Linked DNA regions of Alligator mississippiensis. The protein of the gene in region 1 interacts with the protein of each later gene in a pairwise test. Links are inferred from orthologs where the notes say so. Each region holds a gene or a part of one and is shown on either strand. Other genes may lie near its edges. The genes, in order: CCNDBP1, AMPD2, NANOS2 and MRPL15.

Region 1 (7,144 bases):
TGGCTCCCCCGTGGACACGCTCTGCTCTCCACGGGAGCCAGGCCAGGGCCTCTATACAGGAAGGCTGAAGAACAGCAGGACTTACATTGAGGCGCACAGCCAGCTGGTTCATGGGTGGATACATGCTCAGTGCCAGCTCGTCCACACTACGGCAGAACAGAAAGAGCAGTCACTACAGGAGGGGGACCCCCTGGCAGTGCCAGCAAGCACACAGCCCAAGGTGACACCAGCCACCTACTGAATCGCCTCTGAGAGCAAACTGGTGCTGCCAGGTTCAGCATGGGTTCTGCCTGAACACACTCTCCCTTGCCTTGCAGCCAGGGCATCACTCCTGTTCCCCAGGCTACTTCCTTGGAGCTCTCTCCTGCCCAGCTAGGATGACACCTGTAGCCCATCTCAGAGGTCCAGGGTCAAATGCCCCTACTCCCACCACCAGCTCAGAAGGCAATGCAACCCTTGCGAAGATGCTGCTTCTAGCACAGCACCCAGCAAGCCACAATGAAAGGGAAGGGAGGATTCACCAGGGGCTGATCTCGTTGGCAATGTCTGCAAGGTCATCCAGCTGCGCGACATGTTCCGGTGTGTCTGCTTTGCCGTGAGCCTTCACTGCACCCAAGACCTTCTTCAGGCAGGCTTTGGAGGCCTTCATCAGCCCCATGCAGGGGCTGAGCAGCTTCCGGTCTGCCTCGGACCAGTAGGTATCCCGATTGCCTCGAGAACCCAGCTCCTCATCCTCCATGATGTCCCCGTAGGGGTCACCTCCTTCAACCTGAGCCTGAGGACACAAGCACGTCGGGATTCTGGAACCCACCATCTGCCCCAGGCATGACGAGCAATCCCCAGCACACCCAAGCTTCCCTCAGGATCCCCCAGCTCCCAGGTGTCCAAGGCCATTGCTGAGAAGGCTTCTCTGTAGGAGACTGATATAGAAGTTAGACCCTCCCCTCAAGGCTACCGAATGCCAAGAGCTTGCTGGGAAATCTGATGTCTTTTATTAGGCCAACTATTTAATTACTTAATTTAATAAAACATATTGCATTCACCCAAAGAACCATGTCCAGCTATGTCCTTAAACCATCAGGGCTACAGCCAACACGCCTAAAACAAGAGCCTGCCGGAACACCCCTCTCCCCACCAGCAAACAGCCCCTCAGGGAGAAGCCAGGGACGCGAGTTGCAGCAGCCCCATATCGAGCTAGAAACTGAACACTTCACAGGCGCCCCCGCCGTGTGGGGCTGAACATCTCGGTCTGAGTCGAAACCAAAACACAGAAACCAACTGGACCGCTGTCCGGGGCAAACTCATTGCCTGCTGTCACAGCAGCACTACTGCAAAGCCCAGAGCTGACAGCTGTCTGTAGAGGGAAGTAAGGGCCTCTTACCTGCTCCATCTCCTTCAGGGCATCCTTGACCACTTCCAGATACGTGGCCACAACTGACAGGACGGCTGCCTGGTTATCTGCACGCAGAGGCCAGAGGGAGGTGAGTGGGCCGGGGGCTGTGCAGACCCCGCCGCCTCCCCGGCTCGCACCACGCTCCCCCGCCTCCCTGCAGTCGCTCAGAGCTGCGGCGTCCCCGCATCAGGCGACTCGGCTCGTGCGGCAGGGGCTGGCCTCCGAGGAGCCACCGGCTCCGCTCCGTCTCAGGGCTACCAGGGCCAGTGCTGCTGCGAGCAGAGCTCTCGCTACCTGCAGCGACGCCACCTACCTCGCGGCAGGCTGGACACCTGCTCGCACGCCTCCCACACGCCGCCAGTCGATACGAGCTGCTCCCGAGACAAACTGAAGCGGAGAAAGAAAATCCCTCGAGGCCCTGGGCCCATCGCCGCTGAGAGGACTGAGCAGCACCCGGCAGCCGCCTCAAGCTGCGAGCCTGACCAAGCCACGCAGACCCCCGCCCCCGCCCCACGACGCCCAGCCCCAGGCTCCCAGCCGGCCCTGGGGGCGCCCGGACCGCACGCATGCACGCACGAAGCCGCTGCTCTCCCGTGGCCGCGACCCGCCGCGAGGCCGGTCGAGCTGGGGCGGGGCAGGGCCAGCGTTACCTCTGCAGAGCGCTGCTCAGGATCACGTCTGTGAGCTGGATCGTGCCCTCCACCACCTCGGCGGTGGCGTCGCGCACCATCTTCCGGAGCGTGGTCCCTGGGAGAGGTTTAGAAGGAAGAGGCTGATGGCCGGGACGCGGGGGCCGCTCTGCACGGCCCCTTCTGCCCCCGCCAGCACCCTCCCTCCCGGCTCCTCCTGGGGGCAGGGGTGCGGCCGCCTCACCTCGGTCCTTGGGCAGCCCGTGGTAGGCCGCGGCGGCCGCCAGCACGGCATCCCGCACACCGTCGCACAGCTTCTCGCGGTCCTGCGGGGGGGCGAGGCGAGGCGAGGCGAGGGTGAAGGGGGCGCGGGGTGGCGGGGAGCCTAGGGTTGGGGCGGGGCGGGGCGGGGGGCGGCCGCGGAGCACCCACCTGGGCGCGCGGCGGCAGCGGCCCCGAGAAGGCCAGGCTCAGCTTCGTGGCCTCCCGCGACGTCGCCTGGAAGCTCCGGGCTGCGCAGCCCCCCGGCCGGGAGACGCGCGGTCACACACCGCCCCGCCCCCGCCCCACCCCCCCCCCCCGCGCTGCCCGCCCCCGCCCGCACCCTCCCGGTACCGAGCGCGGCCCAGAAGCGCGGCGGCTGGAAGGCGGGGCAGGCGCGGCGGGCGGGCGGCTCCCCCTCTGCAACGACACGGGCGGCAGCGGCTCAGCGCGGGACCGGGACCGGGACCGGGACCCCCGGCCGAGACCCCGCCCCGCCCCGCCCCGCCGCTCACCGCGGACACGCGCCAGCACCGCGCGCAGGGCCCCGCCGAGGCGCTGCAGCGGCTCCAGCTCCGGCTCCATCGAGCGCTGTCCCCCTAGTGCGCACACGCACTCCCCGCCGCCGCGCACGCGCAGACAGCGCTGAAGCCGCTGCCCTGACTGGCCCCACTGCCCGAACCTGGGGGAGGGCCCGGCAGCCGGGCGGAAGACGCCGCGTAGGGGCTGCTTCCGCCCTGCCCCGCGCCCACTTCCGGCGCTGCTCGGGTGATGGCAGGACCCCCGCCCCCCCGGGGCGGAGCAGGCACCTTGAGTGACTGGATAAAATTTATTGCGGTGAAAACGCGGACAGCGCGGGCGGGGCGGGGCGGGGCGGGGGCGGGGCGGTAAAGTGCGGCGGGCCGTGGCGCGGGCGCGGGCGCGGCCTAGAGCAGGCGGCCGAGCTCCTCGAAGTTGAGCAGGTTGTTGGCCGTGTCGGACCAGGCGGCGTGCGCGGCGCCGTCCATCTCGGGCGCCAGGCGGTTGGAGTCGTCCAGCGCGTGGTTGTGGCCGCCGATGACGGCCTGGCACTCGGGGCAGACGCCCTGCTCCATGGCCCCGCCGCACTCCCCGATCACGTACACGTGCCCGTTCCTGCACTTGAACCAGTGGCCGCGCGGGCAGCCGATGGCGCTGACGATCTGCACCCGCTCCTCCTCCGAGATGCCCAGCCCCGACGTGGGCAGCGCGGCCTTCAGCTCCTCCATCTTCACCCGCACCGCCGCCTCGTCCTCCGCCGTGAACCTCCCGGTGCGCTGCAGCAGCGTGCGCAGGGCGGCGACGTCCTGGGCCAGCGCGGCGCTGAGCCGCGTGCCGGCGGCGCTGCAGCGGGTCAGGAGGTTGGCCAGGTACGTCACCCGCTGCATCTCGCTCTGCAGGTCCGACAGCTCCTGGCTGCTGAAGCTGAGCCGCTGCTTGCTGAGCCACTCCTGCACCTCCGCCAGCCGCTTCCTCAGCACCTCCCGCTCGCTCGGGTCCAGCTTGCTCAGGGACCCGGTCAGGTCCGCCACGCGCTCGTAGAAGTTGATCAGGTTCTCCAGGAGCCCGACGCTCTTCGTGGAGAGGTTGGGCTGCTTCAGCCTGTCCTCCAGCCGGTCGTACTTGGTAGGCAGCACCCTCCGCAGAACGGCCTTCCCTTCCAGCGTGGCCTGCAGCCTGTGCCTGCTCGTTTCAATTTCACGCGCTGGGCCTTGGATTTTCTCCTTCACCTTCTCGATCTCCTCCAGCCGCTTTTTCACAATGGTGCCGTATCTCAAGTTCTTTCTAATTGGCGTCTGGCAGATGGGACACACCTTCAGCTTGACGGCACTTTCGTCTTCGTCCATGTAATAGTCGAGACCTTGGGACTCAAAGATGTGGCCGCAGTCTTCCAGCTGCACAAAGCAGGCTTCCGGATCCTCCTCAAAGCCAAAAAATATCTGAGTGACTTCATCGTGGTCACACACAAGGCACTTTTTGGGGCAGGGTTCCCCGCACAGCCCGATGCAGGGATGACCACAGCGCAGCTTCTTACTGCACCGTACATCACAGCGGGGCCTGTTGCATGGCTCTGAGCAAAGCTGCGTGCACTGGTAGTGCTGGCACCGCCACTCGCATGGCTCCATGCATGGGATACACATCTCCCCACATTTCTTTTTACACTGACTGTGGACGCAGTGGTTCTGACATGCTTGCTGGCAGGGAGGGCACTCCCCAGTGCAAGGTTGCTGACACTTGTGGGAGCAAACGAGGAAGCGCTTGCAGGGGTTCTTGCACTGCTCGTGAAATCGCCCTTCATAGCAGGTGTTGCAGGAGCCCGGGCAGACATGGCCACAGTCCAGCGTGGTCACACATTTCGTTTTACACTTCACAGGCATCCCATTTTCCATCTCTTCCGTGATCCAGCATTTCACCTGCTGGTCGTGGCCACATTTTAATGTGACCATCACCAGCTCAGGACACTGCGCAGTGCATTCCTGCCCACAGAGCTTGTTACATTTGTGCCCACATGTCAGATACTTCTGACAAGGCTCTTGACAAGAAAACTCACTTGCAGGGGTGGAGCAAGGAACCATCTGTGGGTGGCCGCATTTGGGGATAGTTTTCGGCACTTTCACCATGCATTCTTCACAGGGTTCAGAGCACAAATGGGGGCAACGGTGCCCATCTTTGCAGAGCACCTTCTGGCAGGGCTTCAGACACTGAAACTCCTTGTGCTGGATGTCATAGGGGTGACATGCCCGAGTGCAGACGTGTCCGCAACTCAGCCTGAACTCACAGGGGCGGCTGCAACCCCCTTCTGGAACTTGGCAGAAGTCTGCTGCTTTGGACACCAGGGTCCGAGTGTCAGGGTGGTTCTGGCAGCACAGTATCAGCGAGCGGCCGATCCGACCTTTCTCTCGGAGAGTGTGAATGATCTTGCTCCAGAGGGGGACCTTGCCGAGCATCCCCATGTTCCCAATGCAGTACAGCCCTTTCTTGGCTCTGGATAATGCCACGCAGATCCGGTTGGAAATCTGCAGGAATCCAGCTCTCTCTTCCCTGTTACTTCGCACAAGTGAAAGCAAGATAATGTCGTTCTCCTCACCCTGGTACTTATCCACCACGTGAACTTTCACACCTGCAAAGGTTTTGGCAGGCATGAGCCTGCGCAAACAGAAAAGCTGCCCAGTGTAGGTGGTGAGGATGGTGATCTGAGAGGGCAGGTAGTCCTGGCACAGGAAGTACTTGCATAGCTCCACCACGAATTTGGCCTCGTGTGGGTTCTGATGGCTTTTCCCTTCCTGGATTTCCTCTTCAGGGAAGTCATGCTCCACAAAGAAGAGGTTAGATGCAACCCCCTGAAATGAAAAGAGAGGGAAAGGTCACCAGAGAAAAGAAGAGTTCCTTCCAACATGGCAACCTTCCCTTTTGCATCTGTGGTTTCCTCCCTAAGACTTCAGGCATAGTTTACAGACACCGGGGCGGGGGGGAGGGTGTTGGGTGGTGCAGTGCGGCAGAGCATCACACACCTAAGGCAAAGCCTCTGTCAGACATTTTCACAACATAACTAGCAAGAAAGAAAGACTTTCAGGTTGCAAGCCATGCCTCAGAGTCCTGATAGGACAGCACTGACAACTCAGAAATGCTGCACTATTTGGAAGACCCAAGTTCTCTCATCACCTGCAATATTCTTCACATTATCTAGAAGGGATGGGTGCTGGTGGGTGTTTGCAAGCAGATGTTCCATACACTAAAGACAAGTTTTCCTTTGAGGGCAGGGGAATGGGTGGATGGACAGGCTTTATCACTTACAGATACACCCAGCAGCTTGGGTGGAATGCACACGTGCACTTTCCAGTGACGTGTCTGTGTGGTACTTGCAGTCCACATAAGTCTCATCTCAGGGTCTGTGGCACTTTGGTTCTGAAATCCAAATAAGCTCATTCATTTAGAGGTGCGTTCCTCCTCCTTTCGCCCAACTTTAGGGCCTGAGTATTTAAGGTCTTGTATTTTGTCTGAAGGAGGAAGGGATATCTGGCAGCCCTTTGCTTTTGTGCCAGCATAACTAGTTTGATGGAAAAGGGCAATACAGTGGATGCACTGGCTCATACTTTGGGCTGCACTTGTGGCATGCTTGTCACAAAGGTTGGCCACTACTGGCCTTCCCACACTGTTCCTTACCACTTTGTTCCACTGTTAGTCATCCTCACTGCTAAAAATATCTGGTCTAATTTAAAATTTGCCTCAGTTCAGCATTGACCTGTTGGTTCTCGTTTGTTTCTGCTACATTAAGGAATCCATGAGTGCCGGTATGTTCACCTCATGAAGTAAATACATAACAATCGAGTTGCTGATCTGTTTTCCAATAAGAAGATTAAGGTCCTAGGGTGCCTCGTTCTAGCAGTGTTTTTCGAGCCTCCAATCATCTATGCATCATTCTGCATCTTTCAGGTCTTTGTCATCTTTCTTAGAAGGTTGCCGTAAGAACTGGATGCAGCACCATAGTCTGTCTTGTTGCTGCCACATACAGTTGTCTCTTATAGCACCTAATTCCCAAGTCAGCTGTCATATTTTTTAAAACAGATGAATTTAATGAGTGAGGCTGAGGCACTTCAGTATAACCCCAAAAAGCAACCAGGTATGATGGAGCTAAACAGAGGGTTCCAGTTACCAGTAAAAGGTTTGAGACACACTGGTTAGCACCAGCTGTGAATGTACCTTGATGTTCTCATAGGTGAGGACCGAGGGGTGGTTCTCCAGCTCCTGGTATATGTGAGGAGTAAGGAGCTGGGCAATCTCAGGGCGCATGCGGTGCTGAAATACAAAGTTGTCAGGTCAGCACTGCCGGAGGAGCACAGCC
Region 2 (7,588 bases), on another chromosome or scaffold:
CCTCTGGTTCCTGAGCCGCACTGCGGACAGCTTGGTGGTGAATGTGTGGTAGCCTCCTCACACACCTGTGCCTTTTTCACAGGTCCTCAAGAGAAAGTGCCTCCTCCCTCCAAAGCTGCAGCCCCATCTGGTATAGCAGATCTCTTCCAAACTTTGCCATTTGCAACATCTGAGGAAGTGGGCTGTGGCCTACGAAAGCTCATGCCTCTCTGAATGAGTTAGTCTATAAGGTGCCACCCTGCCAGGCCTCCTCCTGAGCTTCAGACTAACACAGAGAACTACTTCTCTATGGGGACTGGGCATGCTCTAAGGATTACAGTTAGGATGCGCAGGGGCTGGTTCTGAACTGGATGAATGAAGCCTGGGATGAGTCCCAGAGATGCCTTTGACAAAGGTGGGCTCGGGTTTAGGGTTAGGTGCGGTGTCATGGGCTGGCAGTTGGACTGTGGACTTCTCCTAACTTGTCTTTGTGGAGGTCTGCCTGGGGAAGTGGTTGTACATCTAGTGATGGACACGTAGATCCTGCCTGGGAAGAGAGTCATTAACTCCTCTTTCCCCTTGGCCCAGTAGCTGGAGACCAGATTTACTTCCACATCAAGGAACCCCTTGACCTCTACCCACCATTCCCGACCTGCAAAGCCACCAGTGTCCGAGCCCCTGCCCACGGAGGGGCAGAATGCATAGCCCATGATTTGACGTGTGACTGCCAGCCTCCTCTGAAACAGCAGGGTTCCTGCCTCTCAATCAGGACAACATCCGACCGACCGTGACCTTCCCCTCCATGAGGGAGGGGGCATGGAGCAGCATTCTCCTCCTCCTCCCTACCCGGAGATCTGTTCCCAACTGGAGATCCTAACACCCTGCCTCTTTCTGATGTGAGTGCCATGTGCACGCAGGCCAGAGCCAGTAGCTGCACACGGTTTTGTTATAGCCCCAGGATAGTACAGGCACCCCCCAAAAACTGTCTTTAATATACCTTTCCCTTGGGGCTCCCCTTGAGGTGCTCTGGTGCATGTTAAGAAGGAGCTCCAGGCTGAGTGGGCATGGAATTTCCTGTGCTCAGAGGCTTTCTAAAAATATGCCCTTCTTTAGCCCTGGATTAGGGTGACTTTGCAGAGCAATCACTGGGAAAGAGTCCTAATCCTTGCACTGAAATCTACCCTGGCATTGCAGGCCCTTTGCCTCTCTTGGGCACATCATGAAGCCACAGTTAAGTACCAGAGGGACAGGAGACAGGTGGAGGGAGCTGAGTGGGACGTGTTTGGAGGTGGAATGACCAGGAGGGGCTGTGGCAGGAAGGGAGAGAAAGGAGGAGCTGCTGGGGAGGACGAACATCTCCAGGGATGGAATATCTCTGTGGGATGTGGATGCCCTGTGCGGACGCCAGTTGTAATCCAGCCTGGGGCAGTTGTGACTGCAAGGCATTCACTCCGATGATGGATGTCATTTCTCAGTGGGCAAGAGTCTGCCTCATCATAGCAGCCGCTGCCACCAGTGCTCCCTGCTGGCAGTCAGAGCCAGGCCTCAAGCTGTATGCCCCATCCTGCTAGTGAGCATCCCTGCTGAAAGGGGCCAGCATTTGTACAGACCATGCAGCCCCGTGTTGTCATTCAGGCCCTTTTCCCAGAATGAGGGGTCATAAAAGCTGTACTTCAGTGAGATATTTCCTATCCCTGTTACAAAACCCTGAGAAGGGAGGCTGGATGGGCCAAGTGGGGACTGAGAAGCATGAAAGATATATGGGTGTGAGGACAGAAGGGGTTGGGAGTGGACATGGAGGCACCAAGTGAGAGCATGGGACATGGGCAACAGCCATGATGCATCTTCTTCTGATTCTTCATGGGTGCATGTAGCTTGAGTTACTCAGCTCCAGGCTGGAGCTCAGCTCTTGAACAAGACCCGTTACCCCTGTGGCAAGGTGAGCAAGCAGCAGGCTGCCTCTCAGTCCTCCGTGGAGAAGTGGGTGGCAGGTCCAAACAGAGCAACCATAGTAGATATCCTTGAGTGGGGTCTTTCAGTGTGGTGGGTGCTGTTTCTGGTGCAGGAGGCTGGTATTGTTCCTAGCTGCATGGGTGCAAAGCAGTTGCATGGGGTTTCCAGCAACAGAACTGAGATCAGGATCTGGCCCGTTTGCTGTGACACCTGAGACAGCTCTGATATGAGCTGTCATATGATTAAGAACTGCGCACCGAGCTGAAGCGTGTGTGGGGCAGGGGGAAGCCTGAATGACAACGCAGAGACCAGCGTGTACTGACACTGCCGGGTAAGACCCTTTCCCTTTTGCAAACAGCTCCCTCACTGTGGGCCTCTGCCTGGGGAGCTCTTTTTTCTGTCTCCATAACAGACTCTTGTTAATGCCCTACATTTTAATTGCCCTCAAACCTTTTCCAAGCACTGTCTCTCCCTCTTCTGGGTGCTGGGGACTGTTGTTTTACATTCAGTATTAGCGATCTTCATTCATATGCATTAACAAAGCAAATGCATTTTGTACAGCTTTTTCTTTGTTAATACATAGTAATGAAGATCGCTACTACTGCTTGCCCTCCTCTACTGCTTTCCAGGGGAGGGTTTCAGACATGGCAGTTAGTAGCTATTTACTAACTATACTAGTTAGTGGGTAGCTATTTACTAACTAGTAGCTATATGAAGAGCATCTGTATGAGTTCTAGGGACTCAGGCACCAGTGTTGGATTTGGTACAGCCAGCCTTAGCTAACTAGCTAGCCATTTTCATCCATGCAGCCACCTCTTAGGTGGTACATCTGCTGTTTAACAGTAACAGAATAACACTGCTCAGCTCTCTGGGAGGAGAAGAGGGGAAATCCTGTAGGCAAGTGAAAATATTTGTAGTGAAGGCCCTCACATCAGACTGAGATTCGGCCAGGTGGGCAGCGCTGGCTACAGGGGAAGAACAATTAGGACCTTGTTTCATGCCTGGGTATTCTGGCCCAGACGGGCTGATATTCTTAATGGGTCACAGATGGCTTTTCCATTTGTCACCTGTCATAAATGAAACATCTCCTGGGCTGGAGAATGCCTGTGGGTGGCAGTGGGCCAGGTTTTTGTTTTCAGCTGTGCTTGACTTGGGCAAGACAGTCCATTTTTCTGTGCCTCGGTTTATCCATCCTCAGTAAGGACTACTTATCCCTCATTGTTGCTGTGTGGCGAGCAGATGAAACGCGCTGTATACCTGCTTGATTTGTTGCTCACATAGTTTGGCAGGGTTCATCTTAAACGCAGCTGGAGTGGCAAAGGGGTTTAGGAGGGCCTTGCTCTGTTCTCAGCATTGCCGAGCCTGGGATCTCCACCCACCCTTAGCTTTGTGCAAGCCCTCGTTTAACAGGCCTGTTCCAGGAGGGAGAAGTCAGCCATCGCCACCTGAGTGCGTGTAAACAGCTCTTGAATGGTTAGTGCCATTGCTCACTCAGGACGGAGCCTCACCGGACCCCCATTTCCACTCCCGAATGAATTATGCTGCTCAAACCCCGTCATAAAGGGCCCAGCAGCAAGAAGCCTCCCAGCCTCCTCCTCCGTGGTGCTAGCGAATCACAGCGGCTTGTGCCGCGGGCCGCTCTGTGCTCCTTGAACCAGCACCCCGGCATCTCCCACGAACTCCTCCGTACATGGTGCTGCGATGCTGGGACCCGCGGCCAGGCTAGCAGCTGTCCTAGCCTTGGGACTGGCTTTGCTTGGAGACGCTGCCAGCCTGGACCAGCCATCGGGGGCTCCTGGAAGTTGTTTTCATGCCCCAGGCCAACGGGGCAGAGTTAAGGCGACTGCTTGGCCTAGTCAGGCAGAGCAGGCTCTTTGCATCTCCCCCGATCCTCTCCCTCTTCTCTGAGCTTCCTCACGGTTGTCGGCAATATCTGGAGTCCTCAAGCGTATTTTAATAACCCGCGCAGCGGTGGGACGCTGCCAGCGCCCTCGTCCCCTTGACACCCTAGTGTCCAACCCACGGTTTGGCGATGAACCAAGCGAAGGATGGAGGAGGCTGGCCCCAGGCTGGCAGGACCACGCAGGCCCACCCAGGAGGGGCAGCGCGCACCCCTCCCGTGCGCTCCCGCGGCCCCTGCCGGCCGCCCCCGGCCCTGCAGCCCCGGCGCGCGGGGGGCGGGAGGGAAGAGCGGCGCAGGCGGGAAGAGCCGGGCGCGGCACCGCCCCTCGGCTCCGGGTTCGAGCCCAGCCCGCGACAGCCCCGCGCCCCGACGGCCATGGCTGCAGGTAGGCAGCGCATCGCGTCCACACACACACCCCACCCACCCCCCCAACAACATGCCAGGGCTTCTTGCCCCCCTTGGCAGCCAGGGCGCTGGCCGGATCCGACAGGGGAAATAGCTGCGGTCGGCCGGGACGTGGCAGCCTAGTGGAAACGAGCCCGGGGTTTCTGGCCAGCCCTGCGGCTCCTGTGTGTGCGGGTCCCCCCAGCGGGGCCGGCTTGTCACCCGGGGATGCTCGGGGTTTGGGGGCGGTCGCCTAGGAAACACCCGGGGGGCAGCTCTGCGCCCCGCCGGCTGGGACTTTGGTCCAGCCCCGGGCTTCCTGCATCAATCATCGCCCAGGGGCGGGGCCCGGCCCGGCTATTGGACGAGCGCGGCCTGCCTCCCGCGTCCCCGCCGCAGTAAGAGTCCCCAGCCCGGCGCGCCCGCCGGCTCCGCAGCTCTGAGTCACAGCTCTCAGCCCGGGCAGACGGAAGCAAGATGTCATCCGCCGCCGGGGTTCCCCGAAACAAGTACCCCTTCAAGAAGAGGGCCAGCCTGCAGGCCCCCGCCATGGCAGGTGAGCGAGCGCAGGCCAGGCCCCCCGGCTCCTGCGTGCCCGCCTGCCGCTGGACGGCGGGGGGACATCACAGCCTTTGTTCCGTGCGAAGGGCCGGACCCCTCCATTGCCCATCCTCTGGGGACGGTAGTGGACTTATACGGCTCTAGTGGCATCCTGAGCATCATCCCCCTACGATATCTGCCCGCCTGGAGCGGGGTGGGATGCTGGTGGCCGCGGTGCGCCTCTTTCTAGGGGCGTGCTGAGCGGAGGGTAAGGAAGCAGCAGGCTGGGACTAGGTTTTTCTGTGGCACAGGCCGGGGTGGACTCGGGGAGGAAGGGGATTTGTGCCTCGCCTTTCTTGCAGAAGGACGTGGGTGTGAGGACTCCGGACAGGTGTGCAGCTGTGTGTGCGAGTGATACGCACGTGGCGTTTCGTGCAGGGTCAGGTAGCGATTGATTAGAGCAGGACCGCGGATGCTGGATAGCTGGATTCTCTGCCTGGCTCTGGGAAAGAGCGCGATTCAGTGGGGAGGACGGGGACCCGGGAGTCAGGATACCTGGGCTCTATTCCTGACTTTGCTGCCTATTTTCTTCAGGTGAGTTGCTTTGTTATTTGGTGCCTCAGTTTCCCCTTTTGTAAAGCAGAGAGGAATGTACTTACCTGCCTCTGTCACGTGTGTTGAGATTATTGCTGCACTTCTGTGACCATTGCTGGTTGGTGGTGGGCAGAGATGGATCTTGGAGTGTGTGAACTGCATCAAAATTTAGGGCTGTCCCCCTGGCCACCTCCTTTGAAAGTCGCCTGGCGTCCTCTCCCCACTGTACTGCAGACCCACAGCCTGTGTGCTGCAGAGGAGCTCAGCCAGGGGGATGCTAGCCTCAAATGCACTTCCCACACACATCCAAGAGACACCAAGGGACCTGAGCAACATCTTGTTGGTGACCCTAGGGTCCTATTCTCAGGCCATAGCATACCAGTGACATCCACTGGGCTGCCTGTATCTCATGGCAGGAGATGAAATATAAGGTATCAAAGCATGAGCCCTGGGGAAATGTAAGTGTCGAGGAGGGCCTGTGACCCTTCTGGAGATGCACTGCCTACATATCGGTGCATGTGGGTGCCTGGGTGGGTGTTTTTTTGCAAGCCTGTATCTCTGTGTGGGTGCTGTGTGTAAGAGAGCATGGGGAACTGCTGTTCTAGGTTTGACAGTATCCCACTGTGTAATGCATCAGACCAGCGCTCCAGTCCGCTGCCCTCTTTCAGCCTCGGTTCCTCCAGACCCATCGCTATGGTATCTGAGTGCCTCAGCAGCTGGTACCTGATGCTTCAGAGCCAGGCACAGGAGGAAGAAATTCCCACCATGCACTTGGCTAATTGACATGTGTGGGTGGTGGTGGAGGGGTGTGTTGTGCACTCTGGATGACGGTGTTCCAGACATATTGTTATTTTTGGAGTAACTCATTTATTACTATTCCCACTGGGCCCTGGGAGCCCCACTGGGGCTCATGTGTGAGTGTGTAGATGGGAGCTGTGCAAGGCAGATGCTAACAGAAGCGTGGTGTAGCGCGTGGGGATGCAGGATGAACACAGATGCTACTGTATGTACATGGTGGAGTTATGTGGCTACGCAGGATGGACACCTAGATGCTAACAAGTGTGTATCATGCTGTTGCGTGCGTGTCCAGCTGCTAATTCTTGGGTGCTGCATAGTCATGTGGGTGCTTTGCATGCCCCATCCCTATGTGGATAGGAGTGTGTGTAAGTCTGTACGTGGATCGATACCTGTCTTTTCTTGCCTGCCATTATAATTCCTGAAATACCTGGCAGCTTAACCCGCCCAGCCAGTCCCGGGTCTGTCAGGGCGCAGGTTATAGAATCCATGTGGCTGCATGTGACGGGGACATTTCCTCACCTAGTGGTGGAGCAGGTGAGGAGGAGGAAAGAGGAAGGGACAGACCAGATTCCAGTAGAGAAAGGTTTCCAGGATTGCCTGGGTGTGAGGGGAGGGGAGAGGAGATGAGGAAATCTTCCCATGTGGAATCTGGTTCAAGGATGTCATGGTCCAGTTGGCACGGCCTGTGAGGAAGCTCCTGCTGCCAGGGACACACTTGCCTCAAGGACTCCCGGGGCTGGGAACAGGCCTCCTGCAGGGAGAGAGCTGAGGGTTTTTGGGGTGATTGCACTATAGTGAAGAGGAGCCCCTTTGCCTTTGGGTGATCATCGACCAGGAACCATGAGGGTGGGAAGAAGCATACTTAAGTCTGGCCTGCAGGATCTTGGGGTGTGCACTTGAGATTCACCTGGGCACGTGCCTGCAGGGATGACTTGTGTGACTCATCCCCATGCACTCCAGCCTGATGCTGTCACCAGCCTTGGATGCGTGTCTTTCTCAGGCTGCTCTTCGGACACCCAGGTTTGTTGTTGCTAAGCTAAGCAGGTGACGTGGCCTAGAATCATATTTATGGTTTTTCTTAACTATGGGCGTCTCTGGGCCCTTTAGGACCTAGGAGCTGCCCACTTCTCCACCCTGCTCCTGGGGTCTTCTTCCAAGTTCCATTTCCTGCCCCTGCCTGCCTCGCAGCAACCGTTCATTGCCCCTTGGCCCAGCAGCCTGGGACTTTGATCAAGTCCCGGCCTTTCTGCTCAATCATCAACCAGGGGAGGGGCCCACCCAGATCCCCTACAAGCTGTTGGAAGAGCCTCTGAAATCTCTCCTGTCCCTCTCCTCCTACCACCTGCCTGCTGGTGCTTCCTGGTGGGTGGGTATGAGCCAGGTAAGGTACACACACCCAGGGGGACTTGGGACTTGTGCCATTGCCCACCAGTCAGA
Region 3 (8,012 bases), on another chromosome or scaffold:
CGTGTTGCTGTGAGGTCACAGGAGAGGCCTGGTGACCTTGGAGGTGACTTCCTGTGACATTCTAGGCAACTTCCAGGGTGGCCATTGGTTACTTCCTGTGATGTTGTAGGCTGCTTCCTATGAGGTCATAGGCTACCTCCTGCTAAATTGTAGGCACTTCTTGTGAGGTTGTGGGCTACTTCCTGTGAGGCAGGAAGTTACTTCCTTTGATATAGGCTACTTCCTATGAGGTCATTGGCTACTTCCTATGAGGTTGTAGGTTACTTACTATGAGGTCATAGGCTACTTCCTTTGATGTGGTGAGCTACTTACTTACTATGTGGTCATAGGTTGCTTCCTGTGAGGTCATGGGCTACGTTCTGCGGCAGGTGGTGAGGGTCTCACCCGGGTGTGGGTCCTCACGATGCCGCAGTCGATCTCCCGGGGGGGGCACGTAGGTGCTGCCTGGTGCCCGGGGGGGGAGGGGGTGCCAGCCCCCACCTGCCCCACCAGTGTTATGTCCCCATTCGCTCACCACGGTGACCACCCAGCCCCTCCTCCGCCCTCTGGAGCGGGGTTAACCCCCCTCCTGGGGGGGCCAGAGCCCCTCTCCAACATTGAGAGCAGCAGGGGGATCGAACCCCACATATCAGTGGGGGGGAGCCCCCTCCTTGTTTACAGCCCTCCCCACCCCAGTCAGAGGGACCCCCGGCGGGGCAGGGAAACTCCGGCCACTAGAGGGTCTCTTGGTCCTACTGTCGCTCCGCCCCCTGACCTCTGACCCCTTCCCCCATCATGGGACCCCCTTCTCGCCACCCAACCCCCCCCACCCATAGCATCAGCACTTACCCCCTTACCCCCACCCACGAGGGCACTTACCCCATAGCCCCCCGGACACCGTGCTCCCCCCGTGGTGAGCTGTGGATCTGTGCAATATTTTACCCCCCCACCCCGAGCACCAAGCAGGGGCATTTGCCCCTCCCCCCAGCTGGGGTCAGACAGAGTGGGGGGGGGTGTCCTCGTTAGGGGCCGAGATCAATCACTTTCCGTTCATTAATGGGGGGAGGTTTTAATGGGGGGGTGGGGGGAACCGAACAATGTGAATCTCTTTGACTGCTGTCGGGAAGCAATAGCCCCGCATCTTGCACTGACGCGAGCGGGGGGCAGGGGTGGGGGACCAAGCCCCCGCCGGGGCCTGCATATCAGTCGGGGGGGGGGTTGGGCCGGGCTGGGGGGGGGTCGTGCCAAAATCTTTGTCTGAGTCTTTTTGCCATAAAGTCAGGAGGGGCCGGGCAGCTCCCGGGGGGCTCCGGCACCAGCCCATAATACTCCACCACCAGCCCAGGCTGTTCTAATAACATCCCATAATACCTTGGTAACAGCCCATAATACTCTATCCACGGCCCACAGTACTCCAGTAACTGCCCGCGATACTGACACGCCGGCAACAGCCCAGAATACTCCACCAAGCCCCCGGTATCCTAGCAACCGCCCCGAGCACCCCGTGACCTGCCCCCACTGCCCCAGCACCGCTCGGTGTGCCACCCCGTGACCCCCAGTGTCCCATAATGCTCCAGTGCCCGCCCCTAACCCCGCCGGACTCGCCCTGCACCCCCCGCCCAGGGCCACGCACTAAGTGCGACGTGTGACCCCTGTGGACAGGCCACGCCGGGTGCTCGGGCCGGAGGGCGCCGTAAATGTCACGTGCCCGGGCCGCGGGCAAGGCCTGCTGGGAGCTGGGGCACGAGGCTGTTACTCCCCAGGGCTGGAGGCCAGGGGGGGAGGGGCCCTGCCTCAGTTTACCTGACTGGCAGCGCTCGTGGGGGCAGACGTGGGGTGAGGAGCCGCCTGGCGCCTCAATCCCCTGGGCCGGGCGCGTCCATGGCCTGAGACCAGACGGTTTTCGTTGTTCTTTTCTTTCTGGAAGTGCCAAATTCCTGTTTCTAGAGACCGGGCAGCTACTCCCGCGCGGGTCGGGGTCGGGGTCGTTAAACACTGATAAGAATTAAAAAACCTTTCAAAAAAGAAAAAAAAAAAAGGTGGGGGCAGGGGTGGGGGTGGGGGGAGACTCGGGGGTTTTTAGAGGATTTAGAGACGAAAAGAGAAAAACTGGGGCAAAAAAAGCTGAAAAAGGCCACAAAAAAAAGCAAAAAAAAAAAAAAGACATAAAAAGAGGCCGAGGCGGCTCCGCCCGGGCTCTGCTTGTCCCCCCCCCCGTCCCCCCCCCCCGTAGCAGCTTTTAAGGGAAAAACTAATGAAAATAGTAAAAATCGTAACTCTCAGTGCAGCCGAAGGGGCTGAGGCCCTGGGCAGCCGGCGCCCCACTCCCTTGGGCTGGAGGAGCAGGGGGGTCCCCTCCTCTGCCCCCCAGTGTAGCCAGCATGCGGGGGAGGGGGGGTGACAAGCCAGGAGGGGACCCGGGCGTCGGGTGGGGGGGGTTGCCCTAGCTCGCATCTGCCCCCGCAGCCTGCGCCCCTGTACATACCCCGGCAGCCACCCGTACGTGGCGCACCAGCAGCCGCCTGTATATAGCGCTGGAACCCCCCACCTCCATCCCAGTGCCGCCGTGTCCATCGCTGTCGTGGGACATGTCCCCCCCTCCATCCTCCATCGCCCCCCCGCGCCCTGTATGGACCCCCCTACCAGGGGGTTGGTTCTGGGGGGGGCCAGGACGCCTGGGCTCTACCCCCAGGGTGGGGGGTGGGGGGGCGGGGGGCAGGGGCTGGTCTGAGGCGGTGGAGGCCGGAGTCCGGACGCCTGGGTCCTGTCTCCCCGCCAGGCTGCGGGTCCCCCTCCAAATGCCCCCCACCCCCTGCCCCCCGCCCCCCCGGGGTGGGGCCCGCGTGTGCGTCGTGGTGACTCGTGTTGTGGGCGCGGGTGCTAACGATTTAACCCCTCGCTGTCCTGATAAATGTGCGCTCCCATCCGCCGCCTCTGTCGTTCTTTCTGCCCATTTCACAGCTCCTGTAACCCATCGAGGACTAACGGGCCCGGCCCCCCCCCCCGCCCCACGCCCCCTGGGCAGAGCAGGGCCAGGGAGATGGGGGCCAGGGCCAGCAGGAGGAGGGGGCCCAGCTCCAGACGGGAGTGCAGCGCAGCGCAGCGCAGCGCAGTGGGTAGAGCTGGGGGGGCGGGGTGTAGAGCAGGGAAGGGCGTGAGCCTGGACGCCTGGGCTCCCCGGCAGGAGACGGGACGTGGGGGCAGGGGCGCGGGGCGAGTGTTGGGGGCGAGCCCGGACGCCGGGGTCTCTGCCCGGGGCTGGGGCTGGGGAGCCCGGACGCCAGGGTCTTGTCCCCGGAGCCAGGAGGGGAGCAGGGTCTGGGGGTGAGAGCAGGGGCGGGGAGCCTGGATGCCCTGGTTATTGGGGGGGAACGCCCCAGCTCTGCCCTGGTCGGGGGGGGCTCAGCTGGCCCCCACGGGGGGCTCCTCTGCTCACCCCATCGCTCATCCTCATGCTCCTGCCCGAGCCCCCATCGTCTCCATCGCGCCATCCACTGTCTGTGCCCATCCCCGCCCGCCAGGCCCCGCGGCCCCCTCCCTGCTGCTGGGGGGGCTGTCATGTGACCAGGGATTGGGCCCCTGGGGTCTCTGTGGGGCAACTCCAGACTGGGGCGTGGGGGCAGGGACCAGCTCCCGCCCCCCTTTACAGGCCCTGGGGCAGAATAGGGTGACCCCCTGCCCCACATATCCCCATGGCAACCACAGGCTGCTGTGTTGCTGTGGTAACCCCAGGAAGATGGCTGCCCCCCCAAGCCAGACCCCCTGACCCCCTTTCCAGACCAGGAGTTCTAAGGGGTGCTCACATGTCGGGGGTCAAAGGTCAGCCTCATGCAGCAAGGGCTGCATACCTGCCCCCCCCTCCCCCGCATCACCCAGGGACCCCCCCAGGTCATCAGCCCCCCCCCTCGCAGCTGGCCTGGAATGCTGGTGGGCTCTATGACATCACAGATGACAGCACAAGGAGGGGGCAGGGGCAGAGAGGCCACTGGGCCAAGCCAGGAGGCAGAGGCCTGGGAGCAGGTAAGGCTGGGGGCAGAAAAGCAAGGCAGGCACCCCAGGGCAGGGTGGCTCTGCGGGTGACACCCCTCTGATCCTCCCCATGCGGGGGAACAAAAAGATCCCCCAAACTCCTTTCACTCATCAAGGGCAGACTCCTCTGACATGGAGAGGTCTCCCCATCCATGTGGTGAACCAGGCTGACCCTGCTTAGCTTGGGAAGCCGGGTGGGGCCCGAGCCTGCAGTGCAACAGGGGCAAAATGAAAGATGCTGTAGGCCCCCTGGGTGGGGGTGTGGGCCTGGCTTACCCCCCCCCCCCCCGCAGTGCCCGGGCATGGCAGACTGCAGGGGGCGCCTCCTCTCTCTGGAGCGGCGAAACCAGGCACTGGTGAGTGCCCCCTCCCCCGCCGAGGGGCCTGGGGCAACCCCCCCCCCCCCCCCCCCCGCATCAACTGGCCGCCACAAGCCTCCTTCCACCCCTGGACTGCCCCGCCACACACCATGGGGCCTCCCGCCATCACCAAGGCCTCATGGGATTTGGGGGCATCCCCTGAAGCCCACCCTCCAGAGGACCCCCCAGCACCCACCCAGCACTCACTGGGACCCCCATGGCCTGTGGGCTCCAAGCACCCTGCTGGGGGCCAATGAGGCTTCGCACAAGCCCCTTCGGGGAACCGGGGGGGGGGGAAGGACCCGAGAAGCCCAGACGCTGGGTCCATTCCCAGCTGGGGCGGGGGGGGGCGCCGTTTAGGGAAAACCCGGGAGTCCGGTCCCAGCTCAGGGAGGGCAGCGGGGTCCCGTGGTTAGAGCAGGGGGGGCTGGGAGCCCAGATGCCTGCCCTGACATTCCCTGTGCCTCAGTTTCCCCTTGAGATGGTAGCAGCCCGGGGGGGGCGGGGAGGGGGGGTTCCTGCCACCCCCCCCACTCAGTCTGCTCCCCCCCCCCCAAGATGGAGAAGGTCACGTCCCTCCGAGCTGCCAATGCCAACCTGCAGCGCATGGTGAGTGGCTCCATGGGGGGCACGTGGGGGGCAGCCCCCCCACCCCCCCTGACCCCCGTCTGCCTGCAGAACGCCCGGCTGAAGGAGGAGAACCAAGGTGAGGGGGGCAGACCCCCCACAGACCCCTGGGGGTGTCATCCCCTAATTGCCCCCTGCCCTGTCCAGGTCACCCCCGCCCCTCAGGGACCCCCACTTCCTATTGGCTCCAGACCACTTGTGATCTCACTTCCCGTGGGCTTGGGCCCCTTGCGAGGCAACTTCCTGCTGGGGTCCGAGCTGCCCGTGACCTCCCTTCCCGTGGGTTGGAGCCCACTTGTGATGCCGCCCCCTCCCTGCAGCCTTCCCCTGGGGTTGGGGCAGGGCACGGGAGGGGTGACCCCAAGGCCCAGCTGGCTCTGGGGGGCACCGGCCCCATAACGGGCGTCTCTCCCACTCAGTCTTCAGGTCAACGGAGGACGTCCTGCTCCGGTACGCGGGGCCTAGTGGGTAGAGCGGGGCAGGGCGTGTTGGGTGCCGGGGTTGAGGCCGACCTTGACCCCGATCCAGGGACAACCAGCGGATGAAGCTCGAGGTCCAGGAGCTGCGGGAGCTGCAGGAGACGCTGGTGAGAGCCCGGCCCCCCTACCCCCCCCCGGGCCTGATCCTGGCCAGTGCTGAGTGCCCCCCAAAAGCTGAAGGAGCAGGGGCACTTTGTACCCCGGCCCCTTTAAATCCACCCCAGCTGCCCCAATTTGTGAGGGGCAAAAGCAGCCCCCTCACCCCAAGCACTTAGCCTTAGCCGGGGGGGGGGGGGCCTGACCCCTGACCTTGCTCTCTGCCCCCCCCCGCAGCAAGATGACCTGTACGTGCTGGAGGAACAGCTGTGTGAGTAGCAGCCGGGGCCGGATCGGGCCTCTGATGTGGGGGGAGGGGGCAGTTGGGATGCCAGCCCCCCCCCGACTTGCGGAAGGGCAGGAAGCTGGAGGTGGGGGGTAAAGCCCCGTGCCCCAGCTGGGGGCTTGGCCTGGGGTAACCCCCCGTGCCTCCTGGGGGGGGCTGAGGTAACCCCCCTACCTCTGTGCCCCCTTCCAGGCGCCTGCAGCTGCCACGAAGGGCCCAGGTTGGATGTCTCCTTGCCCCCCCATCAAAAGCCGCCCCAACTGGGTCCCCCAAACCATCCAGGGGCATCTCCCCGGCAGCCTCCTGCCCAGGCGGGGCTGGCACTGGGGGGGGCATCTTCCTGCCCCCCTCAGGCCCCCCTTTTCTCTCCGCAGGGAGGGGAGTTCGGAGCCATCGGGGGCATGAGCGGAGCTGGGGGGGTAGCTCCCCCACCCCCCAAATAAACCCCCTGTGGGGTCTGCTCTGCCCCCCATCAATCAAAGCTGCAGGGGGCGGGGCTGGCAGGGCTGTGGCCCCACCCCGGCTCCTGGAGTGGGCCTGAACCTGGCTTCTCCTCCCTGTGGGGGGGCAGGATCAGGGCCCCTCCTGTTGCTACAGAGAGGGGCGGGGCGGGGCGGGGTGGGGGGGCTCTCCTTCAGGCCCCCATGACCTCCCCCTGCCCAGACAGGGCGTCTGGATCCAGCCTGACTCCGAGCCCCCCTGCCTCTGTCTGCAGCCTCCTTTCATGGGGGGGGGCTTTAAGTCTTCACTTGCCGGCCAGACAGAGCCCCAGAGGTGGGCGATGATTGGCAGCAGCCCCCCCGCCCCCCCCATCGGGGTCTCTGGCCCAGTCCGATCCCCCTGGGGTGACCCAGGATGGGGGGGATTCCCGTCAGGGCAGGGGGAACCCAAACTGGCTTCTCCTTGATACCCCCCCCCCGCAGCCCCCAGGTCTCGGGGCCCTGCAAAGCTGGAGCCAGTCCCCCCAGCTCGGGGCTGGGGCTGGATACAGTTGCCATCTCGTTGCCATCTCCCGTGGCGTCTGGCCCCTTGTTGCCCCAAACCTTGTGGGGGGGGGGTCAAGGGGCTCCCCCACTCCCTGCACCCCCTGCTCGTCTTGTCCGCTTCGCCCATGTTGGGGGGGCCCTGGGGGCATAAACACCCCTGGGGACACAAGGATGGCCTCGTGGGTGCAAGAGGGGTCCCAGTGGGAGTCCTGTGAGTGTGCAAGGGAGTCTCTGTGGGGGTCCCAGTGGGAGGTCTCAGTAGGGATCTCCATGGTGCTCCCATGAGTGTGCAAGGAGGTCTTAGTAGGGGTCCTAGTGGGGGTTTCAGTGGGAGTCCCATGAGTGAGCAAGGGGGTCCTGGTGGGGGGGGTCTCTGCTCATTTTCACCCCCAGCCTTTGAAGATGGAGGGTGACACTGCCCGGTGCCCCTCCTCCTCCCCCCCCCCCATTACCCCAGAGCTGGGGGCATCCACAGGGGCTTCCTGCCCCCCCCCAAACCCTGGAGCTAGATCCACCCCATGGCTTTCCTGCGGGGGGAGGGTGGGCACAGTGGGGGGGCAGCCCCCTGCTCCCTGCCCTGCACTGGCCCTTTAAACACAGACTCCACCTCTGCCCTGGGGGGCTTTAAACCCCCCGCCCCGGGGTCCCCGGGACAGAAATGCACCATGTCCTGCTCCACTCCGGATCTGGCCCCAGCCTTCGACATGTGGCGCGACTACCTGGGCCTGGCGCAGGTGGTGCAGGCGCTGGCGCAGGCCCCGGAGGCCCCCCGCGCGCCGGGCGGCGAGACCCCCGCGGCCGTGTCGGCGCCCGAGGTGATGTGCAGCTTCTGCAAGAACAACGGGGAGTCGCAGCACGTGTACATGTCGCACGCGCTGCGCACGCCCGGCGGCGCCGTGGCCTGCCCCATCCTGCGCCGCTACACGTGCCCGCTCTGCGGCGCCACGGCCGACCACGCGCACACGCTGCGCTACTGCCCCGCCGGCCCCCGCCAGCGCTCCGTCTACCGCAAGGGCGGGCGCAACGCCGCCGGGCACCACGTCCACCGCTGACCGGCCCCCGCCGGACCCCCCCGGAGCCGCGCCGCGCCGCAGCCCGTGAGTGCCTGGGCCCGCCCGGCCGCCGGACACGTCCGTGCCCGGAGCCCCCCCCGCACGGGGCGGGGGTGCAG
Region 4 (7,640 bases), on another chromosome or scaffold:
CAAGACGGCAGCTCACTCAATAAAAACTGTAACTTACTGTCCCAATTTGGAGGTGACTATACTTGTAGAACAATGAAGGAAGAATCGCAAGTGTAGGCCGGATCAGATTGATCACCTGAACCACCCTCTCCGTGAACACAAATCTCTTAGTTCACGCTGAAGCTGCAGAGCGCCCGAAAGGGACTGAAAGAAGGGGACTTAGTCCTATCAGTATTGAGGCCAGCCTATTGAATTGTATTGCTGAGGCGAGCCCATTGAACCGTACTACTGAGGCCAACCCATTAAATTGTACTACTGAGGAATGAAACCATATTTTGGTATTTGGCTTCTCGGAATTCTAGGATTGTAAGTATATTATGAAAATAACAGTATTGATTCAAATCTAACTTTTAGTTGTAATTGTAGTTGTTTTTGTAATACTAATTCTTATAGCATTGTTTGGGAAGGAAGTGCATTCAGAGCATTGTTTCTGATATATGTAATTATTGTGTTCTTAATGTTTGTGGTGTTTCTTAAAGCTAAGCAGTGTTATATACATACCAAAGAATTTTAAAATAAAATTGTGTTGTATAAATTAAGTGTGTAATCATTGTGAAATCGTGCAATCAGCTAACTACTCCCCCAGCCAGTGCATCAAAATGAATCAGTAAATTGTGTGGGATTTTCTCTATTCCATAACCCACTAGAGACAGTGGCCTCTGGCATTATTTACTGGGCACTCTTTACACCAGGCTCTGAGAACAGAATCATGCATTTCCTGTTGTGCACTTTCTTGTACTGGACACTAAAGCATATCCTGAATCTCTGTATCCTACACTTGGTAGATGTTGCTTAGGATATGAACAAGGATTTGCCCAGAATGGCTACCTTGTTACATTTCTATAAATTAACTTTGTTATGAGGAGAGATTGTTGGCATGTTTTCTGGGGTTAAATAGGCCTGCTTTTTTATGATTTCAAACAGACTGCTTTTCCTATGATCCCTACCCTTTGAGCTGTCTGCCTCTGGTAGCTCAACTAGGAGTTAAAACTAGCATAATTCTGAATGTCAGTGAAGCATATACTGTATTTAGCCATTTTTGGAAAAATTAACTTTATGGCTAAATAACAAAGAAAGATTTCTCTGCCTCCCTGCCTGCTTCTGACATCTAGCACCTCCAAGGAAGAGGACAGCCTTATTTGCATATCAAAAAGCAACTCACACAAAAGGACTCTGACAGAGGAATATACATCCAGCCTCAACTGCCCCTGCTCAAAATGAAGTTTATTTTCTACCTAAAAGGACTTTTACAATCTTTGATTTTTCCTCAGCCTGAAGAAGGGTGCAAGTGCTACAAAGCTTGGAAAGAAAGAATATTTTTTGCTATTTTTAGTTGGCTTGATAAAAAGGTATCACATCTGAACCAAGAGTTTTAGAGTTTTGTATTTCTCTCGTGGAGCATAAAGGCATTCAAGGTGCATTCCCTGTAACAAAGTCTTAATTATTTTCATAACAAGCCTGTAAGATTAAAGGGCATTATTATCCCCATTTTACAGATGGGAAATTGCAGAACAAAGGTATCTACTAATTTTGGGTATTACATTTTTAGATGCTTAAGACCCGTTTTTGATTTTGTCTTTTTTTTCCTTTCAGAAAACCAAACAGGATGTAGCATTTAAAATGTTCAAAGTTCAAATGTAAGAAATGTTAAAATGTTCCCATCTCCTATTCACTTCAGTTGCAGGGGAGAACACTCAGCAAATTAAACCACAAGGTCTCTAGTTAACTGAAAAGTTTGCCTTAAGCAACTTGACTATCTTCACATAGGAACTGTGTTAAACATGACAGCACCATTTTTCTACTTGTATCCATGCTTCATTCTCACCTTCAAACTTCTGCAACATACAAAGTAGTTTCTTCACTATACAACCCTGATTCATCTGCAGAGGTGTCAACTATACACTTAATGGGACTGGAACATGAAAAAAAAATAACATGATAATACAATTAAGGACTGCATTGTGATACATAGGTACAAGGGAGGACAAGTAAGGGTGCACAAGCAATACTAATTCTGCCATTTGCAAGCTTTGGAGTGCTAGAACTTGCAACTTTAATAATGCTCTTTTTATGTAGCTTTTGTTCATGTGATTTCCTGGGTTTCAACAAAAAAAAATGAGAAAAATGGTAGTTTAATTCTGGCATCATACTAATTTCCCACGCCAGTCATCAACTAGAAAGGCCCTTTAAAGTTTAAATCTACCGTGCAGGCTTCTGCTACTTGATCTAGCAAGTAACTGATACAAGTAGTAGGACCATATGGACTGGGTTAGAACACTGCCAGTGGGATTCAGAAATATCTGCTGACAGTAGAAGAATGGCAAGTCTAAAGCAAGGGTTCCCAAACTGTCGTACACATACTGTTGGGGGTACACAATGCAACATCTCTGGGGGGTACACAGGAGAAATTGTGTAATGACTAATTTAATTTGTGTTACAATAATTGGCGTTTAAAGGGTTAAAATATAAAACATGAACTGGTAGTGATCTGCAGGCAGCTGGTAAATCTAGAAGTGGTATGCAATATGAAAAAGTTTGGGAACCTCTGGTCTAGATCTTGGGATCCATTCTGGCCTCTAGGACTCATGTACTCTAGTAGCCATAAATATTTCATTCAGGTTCATTCTTCCTAGATTTGACTCCTTTTACCCTGTTTTTTCTAACTTTTCCTTGTCAAGATCATTACTCTTCCCTATTCCCAATTTGTCATCCAAATCCCCAAATCCTTTCCACACGCTTATCATCCCAGCTGCAGTCACTTTGCCCTTCAAGTCCTAGTCTCCTCCTCCATTCATGGTAACCTTGCCCAGTTATTCCTAATTTACCTCCAATTTCTCATCCAATTTGTCTCACTCGGCCCCCCCATTTTGTTTTTTAGCCATCTTCTACCTATATTCTCTGTGTCCACTACCGCTGCCTTCCCCTGCTTCTGTCCTCATCTAATCTCACTTCCCTCTTCCTTTCTGCACATTAGGCCTGTCTTTCCTGCCAACTGATCTCCTTTTGACTACCTGTTAATCCTGCTTTCCTTGCCCTGATGGATAGTCTCCCCCAGTGATTCTTCACTCTGTCTCAACATAGCTATGCCCAGTCCTCCACTCCCTTTCCTTCATGTTCAATCACAATTTGCCTACTCAAACAGCCATGGCCTCCTCCCAACCCAACTCCCAGTTTTAGTTTCCATCTTCTCCCACATTTACCATCTTTCCTGCCAGATTTCTTGCCTTAGTCTACCACCTCTACCCTCTTCAGCAGGGCCTGTTCTTAGGCAACTTCCTTCTTTTGGACCTGGACCAATTAAGTCATTAAGGTACCTGGCAGACCTTACACTTAAAACATGATTAACCAGTTAGTCACATCTTAAATAGTAATCTAGCCACACCTTCAAGCAGTTAACCACACCATAAAATAGGGACTAAGCCACAAAGTTATTACACAAACTACCTGTAATAAATGTGGCTGGTTCCCACTGCACCTTAAATTGAACATGGTGATCAGCTGATTGGTGCTCCCAGCCTTAGGTGCCTGTTGGAGCCCTTTGCTCTGGTGCACTCCCATGGCTGGGAGTGTCACTCAGCTGACTGGTGCTCCCAGCCTTATGAATACTGGGCACCTAGCTACACTGGCAACCAAGGGGGAGGGAGGTGCACTTACACCCCACTGATTCCTGCTCCACCCAAAGTTTAAAAACAATTGCCTGGCACTGGCAGCAGCGTTGCTAATTGGCAGCGATGCCGGAGTCAATTGACTTCATGGCTAATTGTAATCTACTCCATCCCTTCTAAACTCTTAATTTCACAGGTGTTTACCGCCGTCTATTTACTGTAAATCTTGATGTTGCACTAACAGTTCTGCTGTCTGTTAGCTGCTACTGGTAATGAAGCTATTTTGCAGCCCTGAAGATTGTTTTTAACTAATTCCAATGAAGTTATATTTGTTTTTGCTTCAATCTTAAACAGAATAATACAGCCCTAGCCTTTTAGCGTATTAGCAAACATTCTAGGTTATTTTTAAGGGGAGAGATGTGTGTTATTTTTTTGTGTGATGAGGCATCACACCAGCTGCACCCCCCTTTTCAAAATCCTAGATCCACCTATGCTGAAAATAGGGCACAATTGGAACCTGACCCCTGATCCTACAATTGCGCCTCCTGCCATGCACGTGTGGAGGTCCCCAGGTCTGCTGGAGCTGGCAGGTACTGGAGCAGCCAGCAGAGCAGCCAGCTGGTTCCTGGGCTGCCACTGCCCTGCCCTGCCCACTCCCAAGGCTCTCCAAAGCCTGGGAGCGCCAGAGATTTTCAGAGACTATATACACCCACGCATATGCATGCATGTATCCATCCATCCTCTGGCCATTTTAGCTGAAATTCGTTCCCACCCACAAAAATCCAAAAACTCAGCAGCCCGTCTGAGGAAGACCACAGCCGCTGGGCAGCTGAGCAGAGCCGCACCGAGCTCCTCCCACGCTTTCTCTACAGCCATCTCTGTGATTACGCCCTGCTGCTCCCTCAGCAACACCCCGGTTGGGCATGCGCCAGAGTGCGGTGCTGCTGGCCCCGCCCCTCGCGGCACAATCACGACAGCGGGGGGAGGGGCTCCTGCCGTAAAGCGCGCGCTTACCCTTGGCGAAGGAGTAATGGCGGCCGCGTCGCGGGGCGGTCCGGGCGGCCCTGCCAAGGCATTGGAGTTGCTGCGGACGCTGCCCCGGGTCAACCTGGGCAACCTGCAACCCAACCCAGAAAATAAGCGCAAGGTGGGTGCCGCGGCGGCGCTGCCCGCCTGGCGCATGGCCGGCGGGTGGTGGGGCTCCCGGAGCCGGAGGCCCTGCTACAGCCGGGCCCGCGGGGTGTCACTGCCCCTGGCGGCCCCGTGGATGGGGCCAGCTCAAACCGACCAGCATTTGATCCCCATCGAAGCAGGTCGTGTGCACGGTGCGCCCCGGCGAGCTGCTGTCTGCCCCTCCCCAGAGAGGACCCTGTACAGGGCCGGGAACGGGCCTTAGCTCGCTCTGTGCCTTGTGCTGCAGGGGGCCTTGAGGTGGGGACGGCGGCCTTGTCAGTCTGTAGGATTCTGGGGCAAGGAGCTCCCCCATCCTCAAGACAAATGCAGTTTCCATTCTCAGTCTTCAAGACTGGTTGCACCTATATTGAGACAGAGAGAAAGCGGCCTGAGCGCTGACAGACTACAACAGGTTGGCAAGCTTTTAGCACTGTGGATTCTTATGGAAGTCTTGCTTTGAACTAGGTAACTTCCTGAGGTCCCATCTAACCCCAGGTTTCTAGGATTGTGCCAGTCCACTGTAGACATGCTCTTACCTGTGATATATGCACTGTAGTTGTTCCTCTGTAACGGCGAGGTTAATCTTGATCTCATGCTCAAATCCTTACAGGCAGATGTTGCAAGGATGGTAGCTTGGGACCTTTACATTTATCCTTTTAAGGTGTAGGAATAATGCATGCTCTTGCTTATGTCTGCAATGTTTTATTCTGTAACATTGAATAAATTGTAGTTTGTGACATGTGGTTGTTGCCATATCAGTATGTATTGAGGGTGTCTAACTTGTGAAAAACCTTGTATCTGTATCAGCAACCTTTTGATGCAGACTCTGTTCCAGTACACTTACTCACATGAGGGACTTGCAGCCTGCCTATGCTGTGCTCAGGAGTGGGGGGACAGGTGTTTAATTAGAGCAGTTCCCAGAAAGCTGCTCTAATTAAAACACCACATGATCACATCTGTTAAACCTCTGTGGATCTAAAAATGGCCGTGGGATGCTTGAGTTAAACCTCATTTGATGTGATGATGAGGTGACACTAGGCTGTTTTTAATTAGAACAGGAGGAGACTTGATTAATCAGCTTTACTGACTACCAAGCTACCATATGCTACACCAGGGTTGTACAGCCCTCAAAGAGCTTGGATCAGCAACATGCTGTGACATATGGGCCCACCTGTTTAAGGGGGTTCATTTTCAAGCCACCTGCTGCTGCCTTAGCCTTCCCTGCTTTGCCAGGAGCTGGGCTCTTATGCACCTTACAGCTCAGCTCACTATCGCTGCTGAATTAGCTGTTCTCCACTAGTATTGTCAAGCCTTTCGGCAGTGTTTTGATAAGCAGAGGCTGTATTTGGAGTGTATGGGAGACTAGTCCTTGTAAACAGTAGTTTTAAAAAGGAGGAAGCACGAACATTCATTTTATTAGTGATCCATGATTGCATATATTGTTACCAGGACTTTAATTCAGACAGCATGTATGTAACTTAAGAAAAAATGTCCTGCTTCAATAAAGTTAGTCAGATAGTTCCATTATGTTGTTAGGAGTAAGGCTGAGAACCAAGATTTTAGAACTTCTCGCCTCTTATTTGATAGTGAAATAGGATGAGATCTTTTCCCACTCAGCTTCAAATAGAATCCTTGTAAAGTTGTGGGGTGGGGGGGAAACAGAAAATTAGGGTTGGGAGGTATCTCAGGAGGTCATCTAGTCCAACCCCCTGCTCGGAACAGGAGCCCGCGCCCCCCTCCGCCCCCCCAAACTAGATCATCCCAGTCAAAGCTTTGTCTAACAGGGTCTTGAAAACCTCCAAAGATGGAGAGTTCCCATCCTCCCTGGGTAACTTGTTCCAGTATTCACCACCCTTCTAGTGAGAGAGTTTGTCCTAATATCCAACCTAAACCTCCCTTGTTGCAGCTTGAGACCATTGCTCCTTGTTCTGTCATCTGTCACTGCTGAGAATAGTCTAGCTCCATCCTCTTTGGAACCACCCTCCAGGTAGTTAAAGGCTGCTATCAGATCCCTTCTTAGTCTTCCCTTCAAAATAAATAAACCTAGTTCTCTCAGCCTCTTCTCAGAAGTCATGCACTCCAGCCCCCAAATCATTTTCATTGCCCTTTGCTGGGCTGTCTCCAAGTTGTCCACATCCTTTCTGTAGTGGGGGGCCCAAAACTGAACATAGTACTCCAGATGTGGCTTCACCAGTGCTGAATAGAGGGGAATAAGCACTTCCCTTGATCTGCTGGCAACTCTGCTACTAATGCAGCCCAGTATGCTGTTAGCCTTCTTGGTAACCAGTGTACATTGCTGACCTGTATTATTGTCTAATCTAACCCCCAGGTCCTTTTCAGCAAAGCTGCTGCTTAGCCAGTTAGTCCCCAGGGTGTAGCGGTGCATGGGATTTTTCTGCCCGAAGTGCAGGATTTTGCATTTGTCCTTGTTGAACCTCATGAGATTTTCTTTTGGCCCAATCCTCCAATTTGTCTAGGTCACTCTTTGAATCCTAGCCCTACCCTCCAGCTTATCTAATACACCCCCCCAGCTTGGTGTCACCTTCAAACTTGCTGAGGCTGCAATTCATCCTACCTTCCAGATCATTAATGAAGATACTGAACAAAACCCAAACCATCCCCAGGACCAACCCCTGGGGCACTCCACTTGATACCAGCTGTGAGCTAGACATTGAGCCATTGATGATAGCCTGACAATCCAGCCAGCTTTCTAGCCCCAATACAGTCCATTTGTGCAACCCATATTTCCTCAGTTTGCTTGTAAGAATGCTGTGGGAAATGGTATCAAAAGCCTTGCTAAAGTAGCAGTGTATTACATTTATT

What was found.
Region 2: the proteins of CCNDBP1 (region 1) and AMPD2 interact in binary tests that used the Homo sapiens proteins (3 or more experiments, as listed by UniProt). The two-hybrid records come from large-scale screens. The link is inferred for Alligator mississippiensis from reciprocal best matches to the Homo sapiens genes CCNDBP1 and AMPD2.
Region 3: the proteins of CCNDBP1 (region 1) and NANOS2 interact in binary tests that used the Homo sapiens proteins (3 or more experiments, as listed by UniProt). The two-hybrid records come from large-scale screens. The link is inferred for Alligator mississippiensis from reciprocal best matches to the Homo sapiens genes CCNDBP1 and NANOS2.
Region 4: the proteins of CCNDBP1 (region 1) and MRPL15 interact in binary tests that used the Homo sapiens proteins (3 or more experiments, as listed by UniProt). The two-hybrid records come from large-scale screens. The link is inferred for Alligator mississippiensis from reciprocal best matches to the Homo sapiens genes CCNDBP1 and MRPL15.

The regions. Positions count from the first base shown.
Region 1 is NC_081832.1:303,245-310,388, forward strand, and holds the start of CCNDBP1 (cyclin-D1-binding protein 1), read right to left. Parts: upstream 3,014-7,144; 5' UTR 2,869-3,013; coding exon 2,799-2,868; intron 2,704-2,798; coding exon 2,638-2,703; intron 2,535-2,637; coding exon 2,455-2,534; intron 2,349-2,454; coding exon 2,267-2,348; intron 2,141-2,266; coding exon 2,044-2,140; intron 1,781-2,043; coding exon 1,707-1,780; intron 1,459-1,706; coding exon 1,382-1,458; intron 776-1,381; coding exon 522-775; intron 147-521; coding exon 86-146; intron 1-85. Other genes in the region: ZNFX1 (NFX1-type zinc finger-containing protein 1), read right to left, coding at 3,210-5,642, 7,003-7,098. UniProt on the Homo sapiens protein: May negatively regulate cell cycle progression. May act at least in part via inhibition of the cyclin-D1/CDK4 complex, thereby preventing phosphorylation of RB1 and blocking E2F-dependent transcription.
Region 2 is NC_081837.1:34,357,183-34,364,770, forward strand, and holds the start of AMPD2 (AMP deaminase 2), read left to right. Parts: upstream 1-4,582; 5' UTR 4,583-4,696; coding exon 4,697-4,775; intron 4,776-5,170; exon of another isoform or gene 5,171-5,353; intron 5,354-7,442; exon of another isoform or gene 7,443-7,532; intron 7,533-7,588. UniProt on the Homo sapiens protein: AMP deaminase plays a critical role in energy metabolism. Catalyzes the deamination of AMP to IMP and plays an important role in the purine nucleotide cycle.
Region 3 is NC_081838.1:484,420-492,431, forward strand, and holds the start of NANOS2 (nanos homolog 2), read left to right. Parts: upstream 1-5,073; intron 5,074-5,114; exon of another isoform or gene 5,115-5,413; coding exon of another isoform or gene 5,414-5,444; 5' UTR 5,445-5,522; coding exon of another isoform or gene 5,523-5,580; intron 5,581-5,806; coding exon of another isoform or gene 5,807-5,840; intron 5,841-6,047; coding exon of another isoform or gene 6,048-6,396; 5' UTR 6,397-7,359; coding exon 7,360-7,893; 3' UTR 7,894-8,012. UniProt on the Homo sapiens protein: Plays a key role in the sexual differentiation of germ cells by promoting the male fate but suppressing the female fate. Represses the female fate pathways by suppressing meiosis, which in turn results in the promotion of the male fate.
Region 4 is NC_081826.1:73,127,104-73,134,743, reverse strand, and holds the start of MRPL15 (large ribosomal subunit protein uL15m), read left to right. Parts: upstream 1-4,638; 5' UTR 4,639-4,674; coding exon 4,675-4,791; intron 4,792-7,640.